Linked DNA regions of Coturnix japonica. The protein of the gene in region 2 interacts with the protein of the main gene of each other region in a biochemical or structural test. Links are inferred from orthologs where the notes say so. Each region holds a gene or a part of one and is shown on either strand. Other genes may lie near its edges. The genes, in order: FBXW11, CDC25A, CCNE1, YWHAQ and CHEK2.

Region 1 (4,320 bases), on a different chromosome or scaffold from region 2:
TGAATTTTGCATTTAAATCTTAAGGGTGAACTCTGTAACAGTGAGAATAGATTTGCTGGGCTTCTGTTGAAGTAACCACACTGGAGCATGCAGCCTCGTGACTAACTCCTGTTGTTTCACCTCTTGTTAGACTATAGAATCTAACTGGCGATGTGGGCGACATAATTTGCAAAGGATTCAGTGCCGCTCTGAAAACAGCAAAGGTGTCTACTGTTTACAGTATGATGATGAAAAGATAATCAGTGGCCTACGAGATAACTCCATTAAGGTAAATGCTTTTTTGGTCTTTCCTTTATAAGTGCCCCAGCATTTCTTCTTGTAAAACAGGTTTTTGTCTTTTCACAATCCTTGGTTGTTTTGCTGTAATGCCAAAAGCTTCCATCAAGGAGACTCCCCAAGTTAGAAGAGAGGACAAAAGTTGCTGTCTGGACATGCAGCCAAGGGTTCTTGCTGCTGTGTCCAGGTTTCTTCATTTCCTCTAAGTAGCAGCAGTATTCAAGTTTTTTGAACCCGTGTTCTTGGCAAGATGTTTATAGATTTTATTTTTATTTTTTTGACAGATTTGGGACAAAACAAGCTTGGAGTGTTTGAAAGTATTAACAGGACATACTGGCTCAGTTCTTTGTCTGCAGTATGATGAAAGGGTCATTGTAACTGGATCTTCAGATTCTACAGTGAGGTGAGTGTTAAGTTTTGGGGCAAAAAAAAAAACCTAAAAAAAAGTGAAATTGGGGTTGGGAATATTTGTAATAATCTTCAAATATCAGAAAACATCCCTCGTGTGAGTGTGATACCACTATTCCAAAAATAAGGTGTTTGCACGTGGGAAAGCATCATGTTCAGTCATTTTTTCCCCAGTCTGTCTCATGCTTTGTGGTGTTAAGCATTGTGAAGGAATGTGACCCGTATCATTCAAAGCACAACATGAAGTAGAATGGCTGATGCATCAAATACATGGTGAATACCTCATTTAGGTTTCTTACATCACCTTCTGACATACTTTAGTTATGACCTATAATGAAAGGAGGTTTTGTATGTGGAGCAACAAACACAAGACTTCAAATATGCATAATGTAGTTCCTTCATTTGGGATAAAATTCTTTTCTTTTGCAGGGTTTGGGATGTAAATACAGGTGAAGTTCTGAACACGTTGATTCACCACAATGAAGCAGTGCTTCATTTGAGGTTCAGTAATGGCTTAATGGTGACATGCTCAAAGGACAGATCCATTGCTGTCTGGGATATGGCATCACCTACTGACATCACCCTGCGCCGTGTCTTGGTTGGCCATCGTGCTGCTGTTAACGTGGTAGACTTCGATGACAAGTATATTGTGTCAGCATCAGGTGACAGGACCATTAAAGTAAGTTGGCTGAACTCTCCTGTGGGTCTGAATGCCTACTAAGCCAGAAAAGCTTCTGAAAGTTACAATTCAAATTGGAGTAGCCAAGGTTTTTGTAAACAGTTCTGTGCCTTTCTCCTTAGCATTCAGCTGGCTGCTTCCTCCTACTAGTTGTTAATGTCTTCTTGCTCATAACAAGTCTTGTAACGTTTTTGTTGTAACTGTTGTACAGCTCCAAAAAAGTAAAGCCTACTCTAATCTCAAGTTGGATTTGTTTGTTAAATGTGGCACATTTTGTGCCTTTTTCCAAACGTCAGTTTTTTTATTTCAATTGGCAGTCCTGTTCCAGACATGAAATTTATCAGCAGTTGCTTTTCCATTCCACACCTTCCCAGCTAAACCAGACTTTGCTGTGTTTAAAGAATTAAAATGCTGTATTTTGAAAAATTTACATACCAGAAAATTTGAGTTACCCAAAGTGTATCAATATAACAAAAGCGTTTCCACCCTTCCTTCTCTACCACCAGAGCTACCCTGGAATGTGCCAAAAAGCTCTTGGCAGTTCCATGTCTGAATATCTGCCAAGAAACCCACTGCACTTCTTTTGGAAAAGGAGCTACTTTACATGAGCCCTTTATGTTACAACTTCAATAACAGTTCATTAAAAAATGAACAAATTTCATCAAAAACATTAAAAGAAGAAGCAGCCACAGGCTTTAATAGGCCGTGGCTTTGGTCTTCTCTTAGAAGCAGATTGCTAGCAGTTAATTTGGTAAAAAAATACAGCTTATTTTTGCATATGAGGTAACATCCTCTCTTTTAAAGGATTACTAACTTACCAAGATTTAAGTGTCATCAGCCTTTCAAGGTCGTTTGGACCAGTATCACCTGCTACTTGAAAATATTTTACGTATGCCCTCTACTTCCAACCTCCCAGTCTTTCTCATTGACACTATGTACAATAGCAGAGCTGATGTCTCTTGTCATTGCTAGGCTCTGTAATGCCATCCTCCACTTACACCACGTGCCTCCTCTTTACCTGCAAAAACACTATGGAAGATTTCATTCTGCTGTCCAGCAGAAGTCAGCCTCAGGCTTCTGCTTATGAGTTTGTAACAGCTTCTGTTGGAAGTCAGAAACCTTTATTGAGCATGATTCTCATGTTTCGTAGGTCTGGAGTACAAGTACGTGCGAGTTTGTTCGTACGCTAAATGGGCACAAGCGTGGCATCGCATGCCTGCAGTACAGGGATCGACTGGTTGTCAGTGGATCTTCTGACAATACCATTAGGTGGGTGCCAGCAGGCTGTCAGTATGTATCTATGTACATTTACACATGATAACTCATGCAAACCATTTTCAGTATATCTTGCCATTGAAGCAGATGCTGTTCAACTAGTTAATATGTCACATCCATGTGAAAAAGTGAGACTGTGAGGTTCAGATGGAGGGAAACAAAACCCTCTATTCCTGTAGTTTATGACCTTGTTTTCTACTTGAGAGATGGAGACATTGGTCACTGGTTTTCATGCTTTCTGAACCTTTAGTAATTACTGATTTATGCAGGACAGAAAAGTATGTTAAGGTTTCTTAAAATAATCTAGCAAGTGTACAACCTTTACTTAATGTAATTTTGAATGTCTAGATTAGTTTTTATGTACTGCAGCTGCAATGCAGTTTTCTCTGAATTGCATACAAGGAAAATCTAGTTCTACCAGCTGCTCTTTTTTGCAAATTGTGGTATTTTCTGCAGGAACCCATTCAGTAGTATGCTGAAATCACTGTGTGTAAGGTAAAGGGATAGCCTTGAACCTGAAATGCTCAGGCTTTCTTCTGTTCTTTTAAGGTTATGGGACATTGAATGTGGTGCCTGTTTAAGGGTATTAGAAGGCCATGAAGAACTGGTCCGATGCATCAGGTTCGACAATAAGAGGATTGTTAGTGGAGCCTATGATGGGTATGTTTCTAAGAGCTATTTCAAAAGGTTCCAAACTGACTTGTGTATACAAATGTAGTTAGTTGGTCTTGAGTATAAACAACCCACTTGGGCCATCACAAAGACATCACTGTATTTGCTGCTTAAAAGAAATACAAAACTGCCCGTGTTTTATGGGATTCAGCTTTAGTAAATTAGTGAAGATAAATTATAACATTTTGCTCGATGCTGATAAATCAGCTGGAGGGAAGATCTGGAATATTCTGTCCATTGCTTTTAGAAGTTTCTGTGCTTACACTTGAAACAATGCTTTTAACCTTCTTATCTTTCTTTATAGCAAAATTAAAGTTTGGGACTTGCAAGCTGCTCTTGACCCCCGTGCCCCAGCAAGTACATTATGCTTGCGTACGTTAGTGGTATGTATAATTAATTAATTAATTTGAGGATTTGAGCAGTGTGTCCTAGGTGAAGCCATGATGTGTACAAAAACTGGGTTAGCAGCAGTGTTGAATGTGAAATGTTATGTAAGATGGAACCCCTGGTGTGGACCGTTATTGCCAGCCAGTCTTTGTAGATCGATGCTTCCTGATAGACTGTGTTAGTCTTAATAATGTCAGCCTCAACATGTGCAGTGGGCCCCTGCAGGGGAGAGGCAGGGCTTATGAGTACTTTATTTGAAAGCTGTGTGTTATGCTGAACAACGTTTATGTATGAAAACTGCTTTTCTTTAGAGTCAAGTGTGATTATAACTAAGGGCTTCTTAAACAGAGCACCAAAATTTTAATACACCATTCTGCATCCAGGTCTGAGTACAAACATAATGAATTGTTATCCTCTTCTTGGCCTCCTAACTGATGTCCATTACTCACAGGAACATTCAGGACGTGTCTTTAGGCTCCAGTTTGATGAATTTCAGATCATTAGTAGTTCCCATGACGATACAATTCTGATTTGGGATTTCTTAAACGTGCCACCCAGTGCCCCAAACGAGACTCGCTCTCCATCTAGAACATACACTTACATCTCCAGATAACAGTCTGCAC
Region 2 (4,320 bases):
TAAGTACCTCAGTGGTGTTGGTAGTTATTGTCCTGTCCTCTGCACACCTGCTGGGAGGAGGAAAAACTATCATGGCCCTGTTCTGAGACAGTGCTGTTAATCACCACTGTTCGTGTGCCCAAAAGGGAAGCTTATCTTTCTATCAGATGCAAAAACTGGTTTTGTCTGGGGCTCAGTATTTGGGCAATACTGAGCTGTGGCTGTGGTGCAGAGCATCCAGTGAGTGTGGGTGTCAGTGCAGAGTAGATGTAGTTGGATCCTTGCACGGAAACAGAGCCTTGGGGGGCAAGTCCTGTCTGTACTTGTTGAATTTGGTAGAGCTTTGTCTTGGTACTCCTGACCTTGTGTTTGTTAACTGCAGTCAGTGTTAGTTCCCATTCTCTGCCATCAGTTGTTTCTCTCCTTTGTAATTCACTATGCAGTGTTTCCAGGAGAGGAGCTCTATTGATTAACCAGGCTAATGGAGCACACTGCTGTAAGGACTAAATAAAATATGAGGGCTTAGTTTGGGGTTTGCTCAGGTCAGTGTATTCAAGGGGCTGGATTAACCACTAACTTGCCTGTACTTCCTGATGGGATGGCATTGTTTCTATCTGCAGCATCCTGCTGTAAAGAGATGGAATGTCATTAAAACTAAATGTTTTGTCTCAGTTTCCCACTCAAGAAATGCCCACGGGTGAAGTGGAAAACTACAGGCCAGCTTTCCTGCAGCAGGCTTCTCTGCCTTCCTCTGAAAGCGAAGATGATGATGGATTCTTGGAGCTCTTAGATGAGCAAGATCTGAAGGTAGGTACAAAAGCAGTGCAATGCTCTTCTAATCAGCTCTGTATAATGTGGCGTCTGCAGCATATGCATGTTCTGGTGGTAATTCAGACTGCAGGTAGGCAGGCATGAGGGATTATTGGAGGACTCAGTGATGTTTCTCAGCTCTTCCATTGTAGTGTCTCTGTTTTATGTGCCGTTCCCTAGTGCAGACAATGGGATTTGCTTGGTGTGTGATCAGCAGTTAGAGAGGTATTGCTGCTGTTCCTTCTGGTGTTTGAATTGTGAATCTATAGAGGGTGATTGAAAGAGTTGGTGTTTTCTATAGAAGTTCTCTGAGGGAGCTAAAGGTAATATTTGCTTTCAGATCACTTAAATAGAAGTCCAGTTCCTAGATGAACTCGACATGCTTAAGGCTTTGGAAGAGCATTGTTTTTAATCAATGAATGAGTTGATTTAGCTTATCCTTTCCAGTGTGGCTCAGCTCATCGCTCAATGAAATAACAGAGCTGGTAATGGAGTTGTTAAAACTGCTCAGGCTTACAGGAGTCTCAGGTGTTTACAGTGTCTGTCAGCAGTGAGGCAGATGAGAGTGAACTTTCTTTCTTTCATTCTCAGAATGATGAGGAGATGCCGTCTGACGTGTCAAGTCTCTGGACTGCACCGCTGGTCACCAGGAGGCCATACAGCCGGGTGAGTGTTGTCCTTGTGTCCATCTGCCCCCCTGGGCCCTGTGGTGGTGGTGGCTCTGATCCTGTACCTCCCATCACAAAACGGGGCAGTGCAAGACCCCTGCAGTATTGTGTTACTGTTAAGCCTGCTGCTTGGGAGATTGTGTCAGTGTAGGATGGTGCTCACAGTGGGTGTGTATCCACGTTAACTTGCTTTTTACAAAAACACTTATAAATGGGAGGAGGTCTTGACTTCTCTTATCAAATACTGGTGTACCTTGAATGCAGCCCTCACAGCCCTACCTGGGATGCCTGTAACCCACACTTCGGATAATAGGCTGTGAGGGCAGTACAGGCTCAGAATCTGCCGTGGTCTGCTGGTTGATACAAAGCGTTCTGCCAGCATGTCATAATGTGCTCTGAGCTCACCCAGTCCTCACAGCCAGAAACAAGTGTTAGTGGGAACATAAGCCCCCAGTGTAGGTGATCCTGAGCACATCCTGCTGTTGCTGTGCTGTGACAGCACCTTAGATGAGCCAAACTTTACTGCAGTCATATCATGTAGAATGGGGAACTCCTGCTAGCATCACAGTCCTGTTCACATGGCAGCTCCTGCATTGCTGGTGCTCTGCAGGCATTTGCAAGGGTGATTCATGCAGAATGGCCAGGGCTGGAAGGGACACCAAGGATCATGAAGCTCCAACCCCCTGCTACAGGCAGGGCCACCAACCTCCCCATTTCAGAGCAGCCCAGGCTGCCCAGGGCCCCATCCAACCTGGCCTTCAACACCTCCAGGGATGGACGGGGCATCCACAGCCTCTGGGCAGCTGTTCCAGCACCTCCCCACTCTCACAGTACACAGCTTCCCCCGACATCCACCCTCAATCTGCCCTCCTTCAACTCCAATCCATTTCCCCTTGTCCTGCTAATATCATATCATCCTGTCATTGAATGGCTTGGGTTGGAAGGGACCCCAAGGATCATCAAGCTCCCACCCCTCTGCTGTAGGCAGGGCTGCCAGCATTTAACGCTAGACCAGGTAGTCTGGAAGTCTGAGGCTTGCTTAGTTTCTCTTAGTTTTTAGTCCTGGTCTTTGCTAGACATCTTCACTGTCTGCCCCCAGGCCAGGCGATGCCGCCTCTTTGGCTCTTCATCTCTGCCCAGCGGCGTAGGCAGAACCACCCAGAAAAGAATGGAGAGGTCCCAAGAGGAGAGTTCTTCAGGGAAAAGCAAGAAGAGGAAAAGCCTACCTGGAGCACAGTCTGAAGACTCAGAGGTTGGTGGCTTGGTGTAGTTTGGTGTTGCGGTGGAGAGTTAGAGCTCAGATAGAGGGGTCTTGTTTGTGAAGGTCAAGGAGGGTGAGTTTACGGGGGGAAGTGCTGGTCTAACAGTGTGGTGTGGGGCTGATGGAGGTGCTGCAGTAGCTGTGTGTTCCTGCATTGATCCTAAAGGGAAGCTGTGCATCAGGCTGTTAGTAAATGCTGACTCTTACCCTGTGGGGAAAGGGTCTCGTACCATCGGTGTTTGGCACTCATCTCTAACCTGTCTTCCTCTAGAACACAAAAATAGTAAAGACGCAATCCTCTGCAGCAGAAATCGAGAGCATTTTGGCCAGTGACCAGAGGGACCTTATTGGTGACTTCTCAAAGGTAATTGATTTGGTTTAATGGTCTCTTTTAGAGAGGTGTTATGAACCAGCCCCAAGTAAAGCGCTTCCCTTCTTCAGAGTACATCCCCCAGTCACTGGTGAAGGCTGCCAGTGAGAATGGTGCTCTCATAGGTCAGTCCTGAAGGATTTCTTCAGGATCTTCAGTGTAGGAGCCAAAGAAAAGCTGTGTCCCTCAACCTTGGGGTTCTGGGGTTTATAAATGCTGTGCTTGGCTCAAGAGATCCTTGTCAGTGCAGTGTTATAGAGCTGGGTGCTGTGCTGCTGTGTGGATTGTGGCTGGAATGTGCTCTGCTAAATGCTGTCTGTTTTCTAGGGTTATTTGTTCCATACTGTCGATGGGAAGCATCAAGATTTAAAATACATTGACTCAGAAATGGTATGTGCTCTGGGGACAGTGGGACGTTCTTTACTGAAATGGTTAAAAAAAAAGCCCTGAAAACAATTAAACGGTGCTTCGTTTGTTTGCTTTTTGCAGATTGTGTCTGTCCTGACTGGGAAGTTTGCAAGCTTCATTAAGGAGTGTGTGATCATTGACTGTCGCTATCCGTACGAGTACGAAGGAGGACACATCAAGGTATGTTGTGGTAGTGGGAGAGTAAGGCAGAGCTGCGTGGAGCAGCAGCCTGGACTCATTGTGCCTGTGTGCTGTGTGGATCTGCACGCACACTTGGTTTGTGGAGTAGCTCTGTAAGGGGGGAACTGCTCCCCTTCTCCTTCTGCAGAGGAGCAGATGAGTGGGCAGGCAGTTCCAGGGGAGGGTGTGTGACCTCCAGTGCTCGGTGTCCTCATCTCTGGGGTACTGAGAGGAGTCTCACAGTTGATTTAAACCACAGTCTTTTGCTATAGAATGAGTGGCTGTGGAGGCTATTAAAGCTTGCTGACCCTCTCTAATACAGTGAGTGAAATCCAGCTGGCTGCTTCTAGCTGCTGATGGGGCCCTCCTGAAGTGGGAGGCAGCGCAGCACTGGGCTGTGTGCAGCATTGCTTTGGTTTGAAGCTCTGTCTGCAGCATCAAGAGAGGGCTGGCAGAGCTCCCCTAGGAGCTGAGGAGAGCTTGCCCTAAAGTGGGGTGCACTCATTGCTGTGCTCCACTTACTGTGTGCTTTTGGGTTTGGCCACCTTCGCAGGGTGCTGTGAACCTCCACATGGAGGAGGATGTGGAAGACTTCCTGCTGAAGAACCCAATCCCTCCCTCGAAGAACAAACGGGTGATCATCG
Region 3 (4,881 bases), on a different chromosome or scaffold from region 2:
TCTTATCATTTCTGGTTTCTGTTCTCCACTCTAGATTCAGGAGAACACGCATTTTCTATCATAATTGCATGGATTACTCTCATCAAGTTAAATGAACTTTGCTTTATGCAAAGCCTTGGAAGTGTATCCATCCATAGAAAGCAGCCAGAATTAATATGAGAATTGCTTACAGAATGACAGCAGTGCCAGTTCTCCAAAATCAAACACAGAATTGATGCAATATTCCGCTGTCACAAACCTCATGATATAGCCACCCTCCCATCACATAAAGGGTAACAGCATTCTGATTAAGAACTCAGGCCTTATGTTCAACAGAAGCAAACTAATGAATTGACTATGAAGATGCCATAAAGTGGGATGTGACTACGATATTTTGCCTCATGTATAACCTAGTGTCAGTAAACAGTTTATTTAATGTAGAAGTCACGTGGAACAGGCTGCAGAGGATTTATAGCTGCTTGCATTTTAGAATTGTTGTGCCTCAACAGAATAACTATCTCACTGGCTATCATACAAGCCTGCGATACTGCTGCTGGAACCATAAACATATTCTCATTAGTGGCCCATGGCAATTTATATCAGAGAATAGCTTGTGTCAAGCCATAGACTGAAGAGCTGCTGCTGTGCAGCCAAATGTTAGCTTTTTTAAACAGATCTGTAACAATCTGGCTACTTTGTCATAACAAAAAAACCTTCTCTGTGTAGAGACTGATACACAGGTATCCATTTTTATCTACAGTTTACAGAATCAAAGGGCCAAAGTCCCACCAGCGTCCTGAAGACAGCTTGGAAAATTCCTAAATTAATACTTTGGATGCCTCCTGCCTGAGTTATCTGAATATTGCTATACCTATCGTTCCTGAAGTAGCATTTAATAGCAACACCATATAGAAAGAAAAAGAAAAAAGAAAAAGCCCCAGTAAATTGGAAGCCTGTATCCCTGTATCTACTTCCAAAGCTGAAGATCAATGTATGCAAAATATATTTCAAGCCGCTTTTCAAATTACAATTGCAATAAGGGTTTTTTCAATGGTACCTTATTATTATGGAATAAACATTTATTAGAAGCTCTTCCAGAATGTTTTGCTAAAGGAGGGGTCTGCAGTGAAGGACAGGCAGCTCTTCCTTGTCAGTAGTGAGAAATTAGTTTAATATACTGCACAAAAGAAAGACAGAAGGGAAGGAGAGATCCCCTCATTAAATGCTCACCATTTGAGCCCTGCTTAATATGTTGACTGATAACTAGTGTACGCAGTTGCAACAAGCAGAGGCCATTCCAAACAATGATGCCCATCTGTTATGGTAGCACTTCAGTCTTAGAACTTCCAGCTGCCACTTCTGGTTAGATGTGCCACATTATGCATAGCCTCGCGTACCAAATGAGTACTGTCTGTACTCCCTGATCATGACTTTTGCAGCTTAAGTATCACCCTGCATGTGCATTAACTGGCTGAAGTCCTTGCAACAGAGTGAGTGAGCATGTGTGTGCATATGCACAGGAGAGAATCATAAACAAGAATAAACCTACTTCCGAGAGGCTGATTTTGCTCTTTTATTTAGAGCAAGCATCTCAATGCACAAAGGCATCTTGCTTTCAATACCAGATACCAATAAAGCACCCAATATAAACACGACTAACGTATCAAGATTGAAGAACTTAAGAACAGCACTAAGAAGTTTAGGGGATGCTACTGGAGTTCAGTCTGACTTAGTAACTTGGATCATGCCAAGTGTCCTATTTGGAAACTGGCACTGGCCACCAACCCCAGCGAGCAGCCTCATTTGTTCTTTGGCCTACAGTATAAAAGGCTTTTAACAAATCATCCCTTTCATCTGCAGAAGCCTAAAGCCCACATCACCACCACAGTAGTATCCAGTACTATAAACTCCTAATCTGGAACTTCAAGTACTCCCTCGACCTAATAAAAACACTTGCCAATGAGAATAGAGCTAACTAAGAGGAACAAGTGATCTTTCCTCTCTCCCAGGTTATATGTAAGCATAAGACAGGGTTACAAAGAGATCCATCTCAAAACTTGGTTCTGTTTGCGTGCCAAAGGGCTGCATGCTTTGGCCTGCGGGATACAGCACGTAAGTGAACCACTGAACTCCTACAAGGCTCCAGGTACGTCAGTGTGGAAAACTAAGTGTGTATGAAGGCTTTTGTAGGGCACAGCCTGGCAGCCCCGGGACATTTAGGTACACTGAAGCATTCACGTAATGGTTTAAAGCAGTGTAGGCTTCATCCCTTGCAAAGGCTCCAAAGCAGGCCATGCCACTAAGGTGGTTTGTGGCCTTCAACAGCCTGGGCTGGTGGTCCCCTCAACCACCACCACACAACACGGGGTAACTGCATATCTGTGTAATACCAACATCCTGCACCAACAGGCTACTAAGACCAAAGGAAGGTGATCTAAGGCCACAGTCATTACCTGGCTTTCATATTGCTTTTTCCTACTCATTTCAATTTTGGCAACTTCTTCATCGGGATCCTGTAGGAACTACAAAAAGAAAAGAAGGGATTTAGGGCCGCTCACCCCCCCTGCAGCACATGGCCACCCACCCCCCAACAAAAGGCCGCGGGAGCAGCTCCAGGCCCGCACCGCCCTCCAGGCCGTGCCGTGCCGCCCGCCGGGCCTGCACTCACCGTGGCCACATCGGCTTTTCTCTTGCGGGCCCGCACGGTCCCCTCGGCGCCCCCTTCCCCCTTGGCGGGAGCCTTCTCCTCCGCGCAGTCGCTGCCAAGAAACGAGAAGCGTTAAGAAAGAGCCGCCCACCCGGCCTCGCTAACGGAGAAGCCGGCCTACCCGCAGGGCCGGCCGGACTCACCTCTCCCTCCGCATGCTGCCCGCCGCCGGACCGAGAGCACGAGCGGAGCCGGGAGCCGCAGCCCCCACAAAGAGCCACGAGGCGCGGAAAGGCCCCGCCGCGCCCCGGGACCCGCTGAGCGCTCAGCACCCCGGAGCTTCCCCGGACACAGCGCGGGCGCGGCGCTCGGTGCCCGCCCGACGGCGGCGGGGACGAGGCGGGGCAGCTCGTGCGGGGCACGGCACCGACTGCGGGCACCAACCGCGGGCAGCTCCTGCCTCACGGCGCGGCCGCTCCCGTCCCTGCGCACATCGCGGCCCGCACCGAGCGGGACATTTAAACGCGCGGCGCGGGGCCGCCTCCCGCCCGCACACGTGGCCCCGCGCCCAGAGCCGGGGGCCGGCACCCGGGTGGGGCGGGGTCTGCGGGCGCGCTCCGGCCCCGGGGGAGCGCGGGGCACCGCGGGGAGCGGGATCACACGGTGTGAGCAGGGGCGGGGCCGGCGGCACCGGGCGGAAGCGGAGCTGGGAGGGGGGCGGGAGGCCCCGGGCGCGACCCCGCGGCGGAGGGGTGAAGCGAGGTGAGCGGCTGAGCCGACGGCAGCGGGACCAAAGACACGGGCTGCCATGGCGGGGCCGCGGCTCTTCGGGCGGCTGCGGGCGGCGGTGCTCGGCGTGGTGCATGTGGCTGCGCTGCCAGGTGAGCGCGGGGCGGGACGGGGAACACGCGGCGCTGCGGGACCCGCTCGCAAAGTGGGCGGCATGGCTGTAGGGGTCGGGGGAAGAACGGGCACCTGAGGGAACCCGCAGCGCTGGGGGAGCGCTCAGAGAGATGAGGGATGACGAGATATAGGCCGGGCGGAGTGCACAGGCCTCGGGACAGCTCGGACACGTGGCTCCCTGTGGTGCTGCGTCCGGCCCGAGTTCTCATGGCTGTGTGCCGGGCCGTAAAAGAGCTGAAAGTGCCGGTACAACACCGCATCAATACCCTCAGATCTGTGAGTGGCTTCAGGAGCGAGCAGATACAGCTGAGCTGTGACGTTCAGCAAAGGGGAGCACATCTCGTTTAACTGTTTTACCCCATTTCTCTCTATTTTATTATGTCAGCGCATATAACTGCGTTATCAGAAAAGCATCACTGGCTGTATGGCTTGCCTTCACATTGGGGTAAATGGCACTGTTGTTGCAGGGACACCGAGAAATTCTCTTCCGTTGGCACAAATAATTGAGCAAGCTTGTCAAGAAGCAGAAGATTACAAGGATGCTGGAGTTGTAAGTCCTGGTTTCCTTCTTCCCGTGGCAGTATTTACACAAAGCTGCTTCTGCACACCCAGTGAATTGAATTGAGTCTGAGTGACCTAGAAATCATGGAAAGCACCTAAAACCACCGAGTTCAGGAAGACATTTAAACCTGCACCTTTTATTTCCACACAAGTAGGCCCTCCAAGTATCAAAACCTGAACTACACAACACACACACCCTGTGGAACTGGAAAAGCTTAGATTCAAACTAATTTGAGTCTTTTAAATAGGATTACTATCAATTCCCAAGAATCAAGTCAATAAAAGAGAAAAAAAAATAAAACAGATGGAAAACTGACAGCAATATGAACTGTTGCTGGCATTCTAGGTATCTGGATGTAGGATGCTTCATCATCCAGTCTGACAAGCTGCTTTACTTAGCTCTGCTTGGCACACTGCGTTCATGAAATCATGGCACAGACATACGTACTGAATGACTTGCCTACAGGCTGTAGGATTTCCCCACAGTTTGTGTTTGTACTGCAGTAGCATTATTCTACAACCAAAAGATTCTCCTAGGTCCTTCTCTGCCCACTGTAATCCTTGGATCCTAGTCCATGGGAGCAGCCATTCCTGCTTTGACCGTTCTAGGTGGAGGCAAGAGAAGGCTACTGCTGAACCACCATTGCAGCTCTGAGCTGCTGTTTTCTGCTAAACTTTGAGTAGGTTTCTACTGGGTTACACTTCAGCAGCAGAAATTACAATGATACTTTACAGACAAAATGAAATGGAACTTAAGAGCTTAGTCTAAATTATAGAAGACAGAGTTTAAA
Region 4 (4,118 bases), on a different chromosome or scaffold from region 2:
TTCTTTACTAGGAGAGTGGTTAGGCCCTGGAACAGGCTGCCCAGGGAGGTTGTGGATGCCCCATCCTTGGAGGTGTTCAAGGCCAGGTTGGACGGGGCCCTGGGCAACCTGATCTAGTAAAGGTGTATGTTTGGTGGCCCTGCCAGGCAGGGGGGTTGGACTTGCTTGTTTCTTGAGGTCCCTTCCAACCCGGGTCATTCTGTGATTCTGTGATTTTATAGAAGGCCTCTGACTCACAGTTAGAAACGAATCCAGGAGGCAGCATGTGAGGAAGCACACAGTATTTTCAATACAATCCAAAGCACCCTTGTACATGAGCCAAAACACTTCTCAAGATGCAAAATCCATTACTTCCAAACCAGCCATCTTTAACCTCAGGTCTCCTAACCCGATTCAGGGTTAAATCAAAAACTGTTTATTTCCTTACTCACTTCCTTTCTCATGCTTGCAATACTAGACATCAAAAATACACAGCTTAACCACTGAAGATGACATGCCACACCATCAGCACTGCACTACACACACACAGCTTCCTGCAGTCAGTAGACCCTGATCACACACAACAGGCTTGCACACTTCCCATGTTGCTGACACAGGTCTGTGGAGCTCCTGCTGCACTGCAATGCTGCTTCACCATCAACAGCATCTGGAATTCTGCTCCTCACATGGAAATATATTGCTGGGCTTTGAAACATGCCCAGGTGCACAATACCTGTCATGGAATATCCTGTTTCCAAGCCACAGTTGTGCATTAGTCCAAAATAACTGCAAATTCACTTTTAACAGCCCCCACTAAATCAACTTGAGTGTGACAAAGCAGATTTCTACCTTTTTCTTTCCTACTTTCAAGGAAGATGTCTTCCTTTATGAAATCATACCTTATTACCTAGGAAAGAAAATCTAAAAAATGCCTCTTTAAGGCCTTTAAAGAGTGTTTTTCCTCACATGAAGCAGCACATTAAATGAACGCCATTAATTTAAATGCATTTAACAGGTTACTAGCACCAACCTTCAGAAATAAAGGGCTTTCATTTTCTTTTCAGCTTACCTTGTGAAGATTAGCTTACAAACCAAAGCACAAGCCTAAATTCCCTGCATCTCTGTGCTCAGCTAGCGTAGTACTGCACACAGGTAACTCCATCAGATGTGCATCTCAAACACAGCTTAGCACACCTCGATTACTTCTGCATATACAGCACCCGCAGCAAAGTGCAGATGATTTTCTGTCTCAAAGTAACCAATATGGCAGCTGCAAAAGTTACTGAACTACCCACTCCAGCATAATAGCTCACATAGTGCCCAGCCCATTTCCCACCCTCCTCAAAACAGCAGCATCCCGCTTCTCTCTTTTGATAAAACACGGAAAAAGGAAAGGCCCCACTCACCAGCACCGTGGTGCAGATGGACCTGAGCTCAGACTCCACCTTCTCCCTATAGTCCTTGATAAGCTGCATCTTCTTGTCGCTGGTGTCTGTCTTTTGCTCGATGCTGGAGATAACCCTCCAGGCAGAGCGTCGCCCCCCCACCACATTCTTGTAGGCCACCGAGAGCAGGTTGCGCTCCTCGTTGGACAGCTCAGCCCCCTGTTCCGTCACCGCCTTCATGCAGGTGGCCATGTCGTCATAGCGCTCAGCCTGCTCCGCCAGCTTGGCTTTCTGGATCAACTCGGTCTTATCCATGGTGGCCGGCGGCAGGACGAGGGCAGTGTTGTAGCAAAGGCAGGAGAAGCTGAGGACGTCACTCTGCCAGCAAGAGAACGAGCCTCAGAGCCTGCCAGGAGAAGGACAGCAACCGTGACTCCAGGAGCCAACGCTGTGGATGGTGTCCTTGCAGCCCCCTTACTGGGACTGTAGGGAGCTCCCCATTCCCAAGTACATCCCATGGCGCAGCACTGGCACCGTCCCTCCCTTGGGCAGAAGCAGGCACTGGTACCGGGCCCACCCTGGGGAAGCAACAGCCCAGAAACCCAGCCGGGGATGGGTCACAGTCCCTCGGCCAGAGGACCGAGCACCGGGCAGTCGTACCAACGTACCACAGCGGCTTTTGTCCTTACTGTGCCAACACACTTAAGAGCTGCTCAATGGAGCCGCACAGCAGGACACCCAGCTCCCAGGCAGCCCGAGGGCCTTCCCCACGTGCCTTCACCCCGCAGGGGAGGGCAAAGAAAAAGGAGGAAACAGAAAAAAAAGCTATTTAAAAAGAAAGAAAGGAGAACAGCGCGCTCGGAGCTGAGGCCGCAGCTCAGCGGGGCTGGAGACAACGCCGGGGCCGGGCGGGGCCGGGCGGGCAGCTCGGGCCGCTTCGCCTCCTGGCGGCGGGGCGAGGCGGGACCATCCCCCCGGCGGGAGCGGCCCCGGCCCCGGCACGGAGCCCCTCCATTCCCGGCCGCTGGGTGGGGTCGGGGCCCGGCGGCTCCGCGTTGGCCTCGTCCCCGGGGACCGCGAAGCGGGGGGCGGCGGAGCGGGACGAGCGTGGCCGGGCGCGGAGGACGAAGCCCCGGCGGGTACGAAATGGCGGCGCCGCCCGGCGGCTCGTTCCGCAACCCGGCACCGCCGAGCGCTCCACGCCGCGCTCACAAAATGGAGGACGCGGCGCCGAGGCGGGGCACGGCGGCACGGCCGGCGGGAAGCGGCCCACGCCGCGCTCACCTGAGTCCGCTGCGCTGCGCTGCGCTAGGCCGGGCCGGGCCGCACCCGATCGGCTGCGCCTCGCTCGGGATGTGGCGGAGAGAAAGAGCCGCTCCCGAAGCGGGCGAGAGCCAGCGCTAAAGGGCGTTGGCACGGCCGAGCCTACCCGCCGCTCGGCCCGCGCCCACGCGGCCAATCGCGGCCTCTCCTGCGAGCCAGGCCCCGCCCCTCCGCTCCCCGCCGGCCAATCCGAGGGCAGCGCGCCGCCGCGGGGGCGAGCGCGGGCAGGGCGCGAGCTCGGTTGGCCCGTGGGCTGCGGCTGGGGCCACGGGGTTTCCTCCAATTAGATCCAGGGTGAGATGACGTCACTGTCGCCATGGCGATACTGCTACAACCCCCCCCCCGCCCAACCCCCGCTCCACCACGGTGGGTCGGCACCGACACGGCGCGGGAACGGGCGGGGGCGGCCGGCGGGGGCTGCCCGTGCTGTGGGGGCTGCCCGTGCTGTGGGGGCTGCCCGTGCTGTGGGGGCTGCCCGTGCTGTGGGGGCTGCCCGTGCTTTAGCTCCCTGGCTGTGTCGCCATGGGGCCGTGCGGGGCGGGCTCGGTGCCCCCTCCGTAGGGCGGCTGTGGGAGGACACAGTGCGTGGTGCCGAGGCTGGGCTGCGGGCTGGGCTGCCCGGCGCCCTCCCGGCGCGTTGTCTCCTGTCAGGAATGCTGCCTTTGTGCCGCCGCTCGGTCGGGCGAGAGATTTCAGAGAGAGGGAAGATTTAGGTTGGATGTTAGGGGGAAGTTCTTCACTAGGAGAGTGGTTAGGTCCTGGAACAGGCTGCCCAGGGAGGTTGTGGATGCCCCGTCCTTGGAGGTGTTCAAGACCAGGTTGGACGGGGCCCTGGGCAACCTGATCTAGTAAAGGTGTATGTTTGGTGGCCCTGCCAGGCAGGGGGGTTGGAACTACATGATCCTTGAGGTCCCTTCCAACCCGGGTCATTCTGTGAGCTGTGCCCCAGGAGCCCGGTGACAGGAAATTGCTCGTGAAGAGTTAATGGCGCTGTGCCGTGGGGCCCTGAGCGGGGAGCGACCCGCGCTGACATCAGTAACCATCGATGTCCATTGGTCCTAAAGGCCTCAGGCTCAAACCTCCCTTCAAACAGCACAGTGTCTACGTGAAGCAGTGAAATCCCTCACCTTTGCTTCCAGCATCACCAAATTTAGTCATGTCCTGCTACTCCAGCATCCTGAAGGGATGATGAATGCTCTGAATCACCTCAGGATGTTGTCGTCTCAGCTCGGAGTGCTCCTGTCTGTGTTCAGATAGGGCTGTGATGAGGCATGTGGGCATTAGGTCTGTGCTGTGAACCGACACTGCCGGTCATTTCAATGGAGGGATGCATTTACTCTGTTAAAAAAAAAGGTGCCTATTGGTAATGCTCCTCATGAAGTTAATGAAACTCTTTCAGAAAGAATTACTGTGTTGGTCTTGTTATTTAAA
Region 5 (3,677 bases), on a different chromosome or scaffold from region 2:
TGCAAGTTGAAAGAAATTGAATGGTTGGAGCTGGAAGGAACCACTGAAGGCCATCCGTACCCACTATCTGCAGTGCCCTTAGTGTAAAACTTCTTCCTTATATCCAATCTAAATCTCCTCTCTTTTAGTTTGAAACCATTTCCCCTTGTCCTATCAGAATGTATTCTAAAGGGTCAGTTCCTTCTTTCTTACAGCTGCTTTAGATACTGAATGCTCATCCTCAGCTCCTTCCCCAGCCTTCTCTTCTCTTGGCCTGTTTTTACAGGGCAGGTGTTTCATTCCTTGGATCATTTTTTTGTGGCCTTGTAATACTGTAATACAATGGAAAGCACAGCAGTAATAGCAAAGTAGCACAACCCCAGGCTATAGAAATGAAAATGATCCCAAATGCAGCAACCAAAGACACAAAAACAAGGGAAAAAAAGTTTCTTACCTTGGGAAAAATTCAGATAGGCAGGGTTCTCCAGCAAGATACCCACACCTCCACTGCCAACCCTTAAATGAGGTCTGAGAAGGGTTGAATCCTGGTTCCACCCCTTCCAGTTACTGAAGGTACATTGCCTGCACCTGAACTCCCCTGGGTTGGCCCTGCCTTCCTACCAGGTGCTCCATCACTGTATCAGGCTGTGACACCACTTCTACTGCAGGCCCTCATGAAACAAGCATGCAAAATGTTTATGCAATTACTGCCTCCTCACCATTCACAATGATAGATGCAAGTATCTCATAACGCATATGATCTCTGTCTGCAACAAGCACAACGGGGAAAAACTTGCCTTGTGTCTTATCTTAATTTATACTTGACAGTGCTTTGTTTTGTAATGGATTAGGTTTTATTCTCTCCTAATCCATTTACAGTAAATGCCTCTAATCATAACATGCGTGGTTTTAGGCCAAAGTTATTAAATCGCTCCCTCTTACTAAATAATTAAATTCATATCCTCTAGCAATTGGCGCACAGTCCAAAAACTTTTCCACTTAACAGACAAGAACATTTTAAATTGTTCCACAGTTTAATTCCTTGTTCTTCTCTTACAGGAGCTTATCCAATGATGTAAGGAAGATGGTTACCACGTTTCTTATTCAGTCCATCCTAAGGTAAATAAAAACAGTGCACACTTTTCAAGAAGAGAACAGTTAGCAAGTACAGGCATCTTAAGGATTACAATTATTCTAACCATAGCCCTCCTCATAGTGGATTTCTATTTCTAGGTTTCATGAGGAGGTTACAGATATCATTTTGTGCCAGGTAATGCTATGGTGGGAGGACTAAGCAATACCTTTAAGCCTAAGGTAGAAACTGGAACAGAAGAGCACAGAAGTGTAGATGGGAATGAAATTAGCCTCAAGGTTTTTTGTAACTTCATTCAAGAAGAAACATCTGACATTCCTCTTGAATCAAACAGATGGATGAACTTCAGAATGACTATTGATGTAAATTCCCATGCATACACAGCAGTTACTTCATTCTTACAAAGTCGTTTTTATTTAATCAATTGCATCTTCAAACGTTATTCCATCAATAGGATTTTCAAAAATAAAAATTCTGCTTTCCATAAAATAAAGCAATAATTAACAAAAAAAGTCCCCTTTTTCACCTCATTTTCTGAAATGACGTAGAAGGAGCCACACGCTTCGAAGGGACAGATTCATCCTCGTTTTCATGGAGACGTTTTCTCATAGCAATCGGCTAAAAGAAAGATGCAGCAGGATGGCTACATTAATCAGGTGAGACAGAGCTTGACTGTTTTGTCTACTACAGAATTACAGATGTTGGATAAAGTCTCCCTCCTGTAACTGAAACAGCAGCATGACTAACGAGCGTTTCTCTCCAGTGATCTAATGGTAAGTGATCCTTCTCATGTAAGACACTGCCCTTATTCCCTTTTCTTTCTCAGTTGCTCCCTGCTTTGACTGCTGTTTAAAACAATGCTAATTGCTGTCTAGTAATTAATATCACCATTACCACTAAGTTCCACTGCCATCAGAATTTGCCTTTGAATATTAAACATTCATGACTTAAATCCATCCAAACAGACATGTTCACGTACAGAACTTTGAATATATGGGTAGTCCTTTAAAGCCTACGAGACAGTTTCTTTACATTCAAAGTATCTTGCCAAAGCACAAAAGTAAACTTCTTCTACCAAGAATGCAGGAAAGAATTAATAGACTGCTACATAAAGGCATAATGTACACTTCTATATTAAATTATCAGGATTACATGTTCTTATTATGGTTTACTTTCAAATCTAGCATAGGCACCAAGTATTAATCTTCACATAATCCACCATTCATACCATTTTTGATGTTTGTGGTGGATTCATAGTGGCACCTGTCTGAGCAAGTAGTTGTTGAAATGTATTTTTCATATCCTCATCCTGTTAAAACAAAACAAAACAAACCATCAGCCTTAATTATTATGAGGAATGTTTAAGGTGGACCAGCAATTGTGGAACAAATAAAAGAGAAAGGGATATAACTCTTCTCCTCACCGTTAGAAAAATAAAGCATGTATTGCTAGGAGAAAGGATCTGAAATGACTGCTCCAGGTAGCTGTAAAACACTGCACAGTGTCACAGTTCCTTCTCTAAGGTTTCCAACACCAGGCCCAGTGAAGGAAGTGGTGAATTTATCCTTAACACAACACAACTGAGAAAAGGAATTAGGAGACACTATTTTTGCAGCAAGTAGGTTACACATCATCAGGACGTTGGTCCTTTGAAACATCGGCTTTATTCCCCACAGACTTTATTCTTACTTATCTAATACCAGTCAAGCAAAAGCTGAAATGATAATACCATACAATGAAGTATAACAGTACTGAAACAGCAAAACATACAGGGCTAGGAGCTTGTGCAGATAATTCACTGGTCAGTTTCATCAGGAGAGGCCTCATCAGGACTTGGCACTTTGCTTTAATCAAAATCAAGTTCCTCGCTCTTGAAAAACAAGTATTTTGCTTATAGTCTTACATTTCTAACAATATTGTCATTTCCACCAGCTTAGCATTATCTCAACACGTAGTTTTTAATCACATCTCCAACCCACCATCCTCCTCCTAAACAATCTATTGTATACACTAAGTAGAGAAGAACCAGCTAAAACATCTATATTAAAATGACAGTAACAACTTTTACTTTTAAAATACCCCACCATTACCTCTACCCTATATCCACAGAGCATATTAGAGGTTGTCAATGGAAGGTTTCACTTTTAAAAACCCAAATGATTGTTAACAAATATTTATTATCCATAGGCCATTCATATTGCTACACTGTTCCCTACCATAACAAGTTTACTGGATAATATAGTTTATTCTCTACCAGAAGTGATAAGCCAGAAGCTGCTACTAATGGAAAGAAGTGGACATAGGGATGTTATTAGTCACACTTCTGCATAAAGAAGCCTGGCTGCAGGAGCATTAGTAGAGGAAAGGGCAGCATGAGGTAGGAAAGCACAGACCATTAGTTAGAAAAACCTATTGTTTAACAGAAAGCCAGACGTGTTTCAAGAGAAAAAGACAGCACACAGATTCATTCTGGTTCAGCTGCCGGGGACTGAGGTGCCCTTGGTCTACACCAGGCAACCTCAGGGAAAAAGGAATTCCACGTGCAAAAGGCATTTAGTTAACACAGTATACTTCCTCTTCTGAAAATAAAACCTCATTCTCTAGT

Evidence for each region.
Region 1: the proteins of CDC25A (region 2) and FBXW11 form a complex in vitro, tested with the Homo sapiens proteins (2 studies listed by BioGRID, with this or other methods). The link is inferred for Coturnix japonica from reciprocal best matches to the Homo sapiens genes CDC25A and FBXW11.
Region 3: the proteins of CDC25A (region 2) and CCNE1 form a complex in vitro, tested with the Homo sapiens proteins (2 studies listed by BioGRID). The link is inferred for Coturnix japonica from reciprocal best matches to the Homo sapiens genes CDC25A and CCNE1.
Region 4: the proteins of CDC25A (region 2) and YWHAQ form a complex in vitro, tested with the Homo sapiens proteins (2 studies listed by BioGRID, with this or other methods). The link is inferred for Coturnix japonica from reciprocal best matches to the Homo sapiens genes CDC25A and YWHAQ.
Region 5: of the proteins of CDC25A (region 2) and CHEK2, one has a biochemical effect on the other in vitro, tested with the Homo sapiens proteins (5 studies listed by BioGRID, with this or other methods). The link is inferred for Coturnix japonica from reciprocal best matches to the Homo sapiens genes CDC25A and CHEK2.

Annotation. Positions count from the first base shown.
Region 1 is NC_029528.1:13,891,543-13,895,862, reverse strand, and holds part of FBXW11 (F-box/WD repeat-containing protein 11), read left to right. Parts: intron 1-130; coding exon 131-268; intron 269-560; coding exon 561-679; intron 680-1,113; coding exon 1,114-1,363; intron 1,364-2,513; coding exon 2,514-2,632; intron 2,633-3,187; coding exon 3,188-3,298; intron 3,299-3,614; coding exon 3,615-3,693; intron 3,694-4,148; coding exon 4,149-4,310; 3' UTR 4,311-4,320.
Region 2 is NC_029517.1:561,062-565,381, forward strand, and holds part of CDC25A (M-phase inducer phosphatase 1), read left to right. Parts: intron 1-651; coding exon 652-786; intron 787-1,380; coding exon 1,381-1,455; intron 1,456-2,556; coding exon 2,557-2,709; intron 2,710-2,989; coding exon 2,990-3,082; intron 3,083-3,415; coding exon 3,416-3,478; intron 3,479-3,577; coding exon 3,578-3,676; intron 3,677-4,229; coding exon 4,230-4,320. UniProt on the Homo sapiens protein: Tyrosine protein phosphatase which functions as a dosage-dependent inducer of mitotic progression. Directly dephosphorylates CDK1 and stimulates its kinase activity. Also dephosphorylates CDK2 in complex with cyclin-E, in vitro.
Region 3 is NC_029526.1:7,172,130-7,177,010, reverse strand, and holds the start of CCNE1 (G1/S-specific cyclin-E1), read right to left. Parts: upstream 3,179-4,881; 5' UTR 2,844-3,178; coding exon 2,830-2,843; intron 2,739-2,829; coding exon 2,648-2,738; intron 2,502-2,647; coding exon 2,433-2,501; intron 1-2,432. Other genes in the region: uncharacterized protein F13E9.13, mitochondrial-like, read left to right, coding at 3,435-3,507, 3,997-4,079. UniProt on the Homo sapiens protein: Essential for the control of the cell cycle at the G1/S (start) transition.
Region 4 is NC_029518.1:87,878,912-87,883,029, forward strand, and holds the start of YWHAQ (14-3-3 protein theta), read right to left. Parts: upstream 2,801-4,118; 5' UTR 2,649-2,800; intron 1,771-2,648; 5' UTR 1,680-1,770; coding exon 1,386-1,679; intron 1-1,385. UniProt on the Homo sapiens protein: Adapter protein implicated in the regulation of a large spectrum of both general and specialized signaling pathways. Binds to a large number of partners, usually by recognition of a phosphoserine or phosphothreonine motif.
Region 5 is NC_029530.1:6,762,170-6,765,846, forward strand, and holds the end of CHEK2 (serine/threonine-protein kinase Chk2), read right to left. Parts: intron 2,382-3,677; coding exon 2,301-2,381; intron 1,846-2,300; exon of another isoform or gene 1,763-1,845; intron 1,691-1,762; coding exon 1,599-1,690; intron 1,099-1,598; exon of another isoform or gene 1,094-1,098; coding exon 1,084-1,093; 3' UTR 811-1,083; downstream 1-810. UniProt on the Homo sapiens protein: Serine/threonine-protein kinase which is required for checkpoint-mediated cell cycle arrest, activation of DNA repair and apoptosis in response to the presence of DNA double-strand breaks.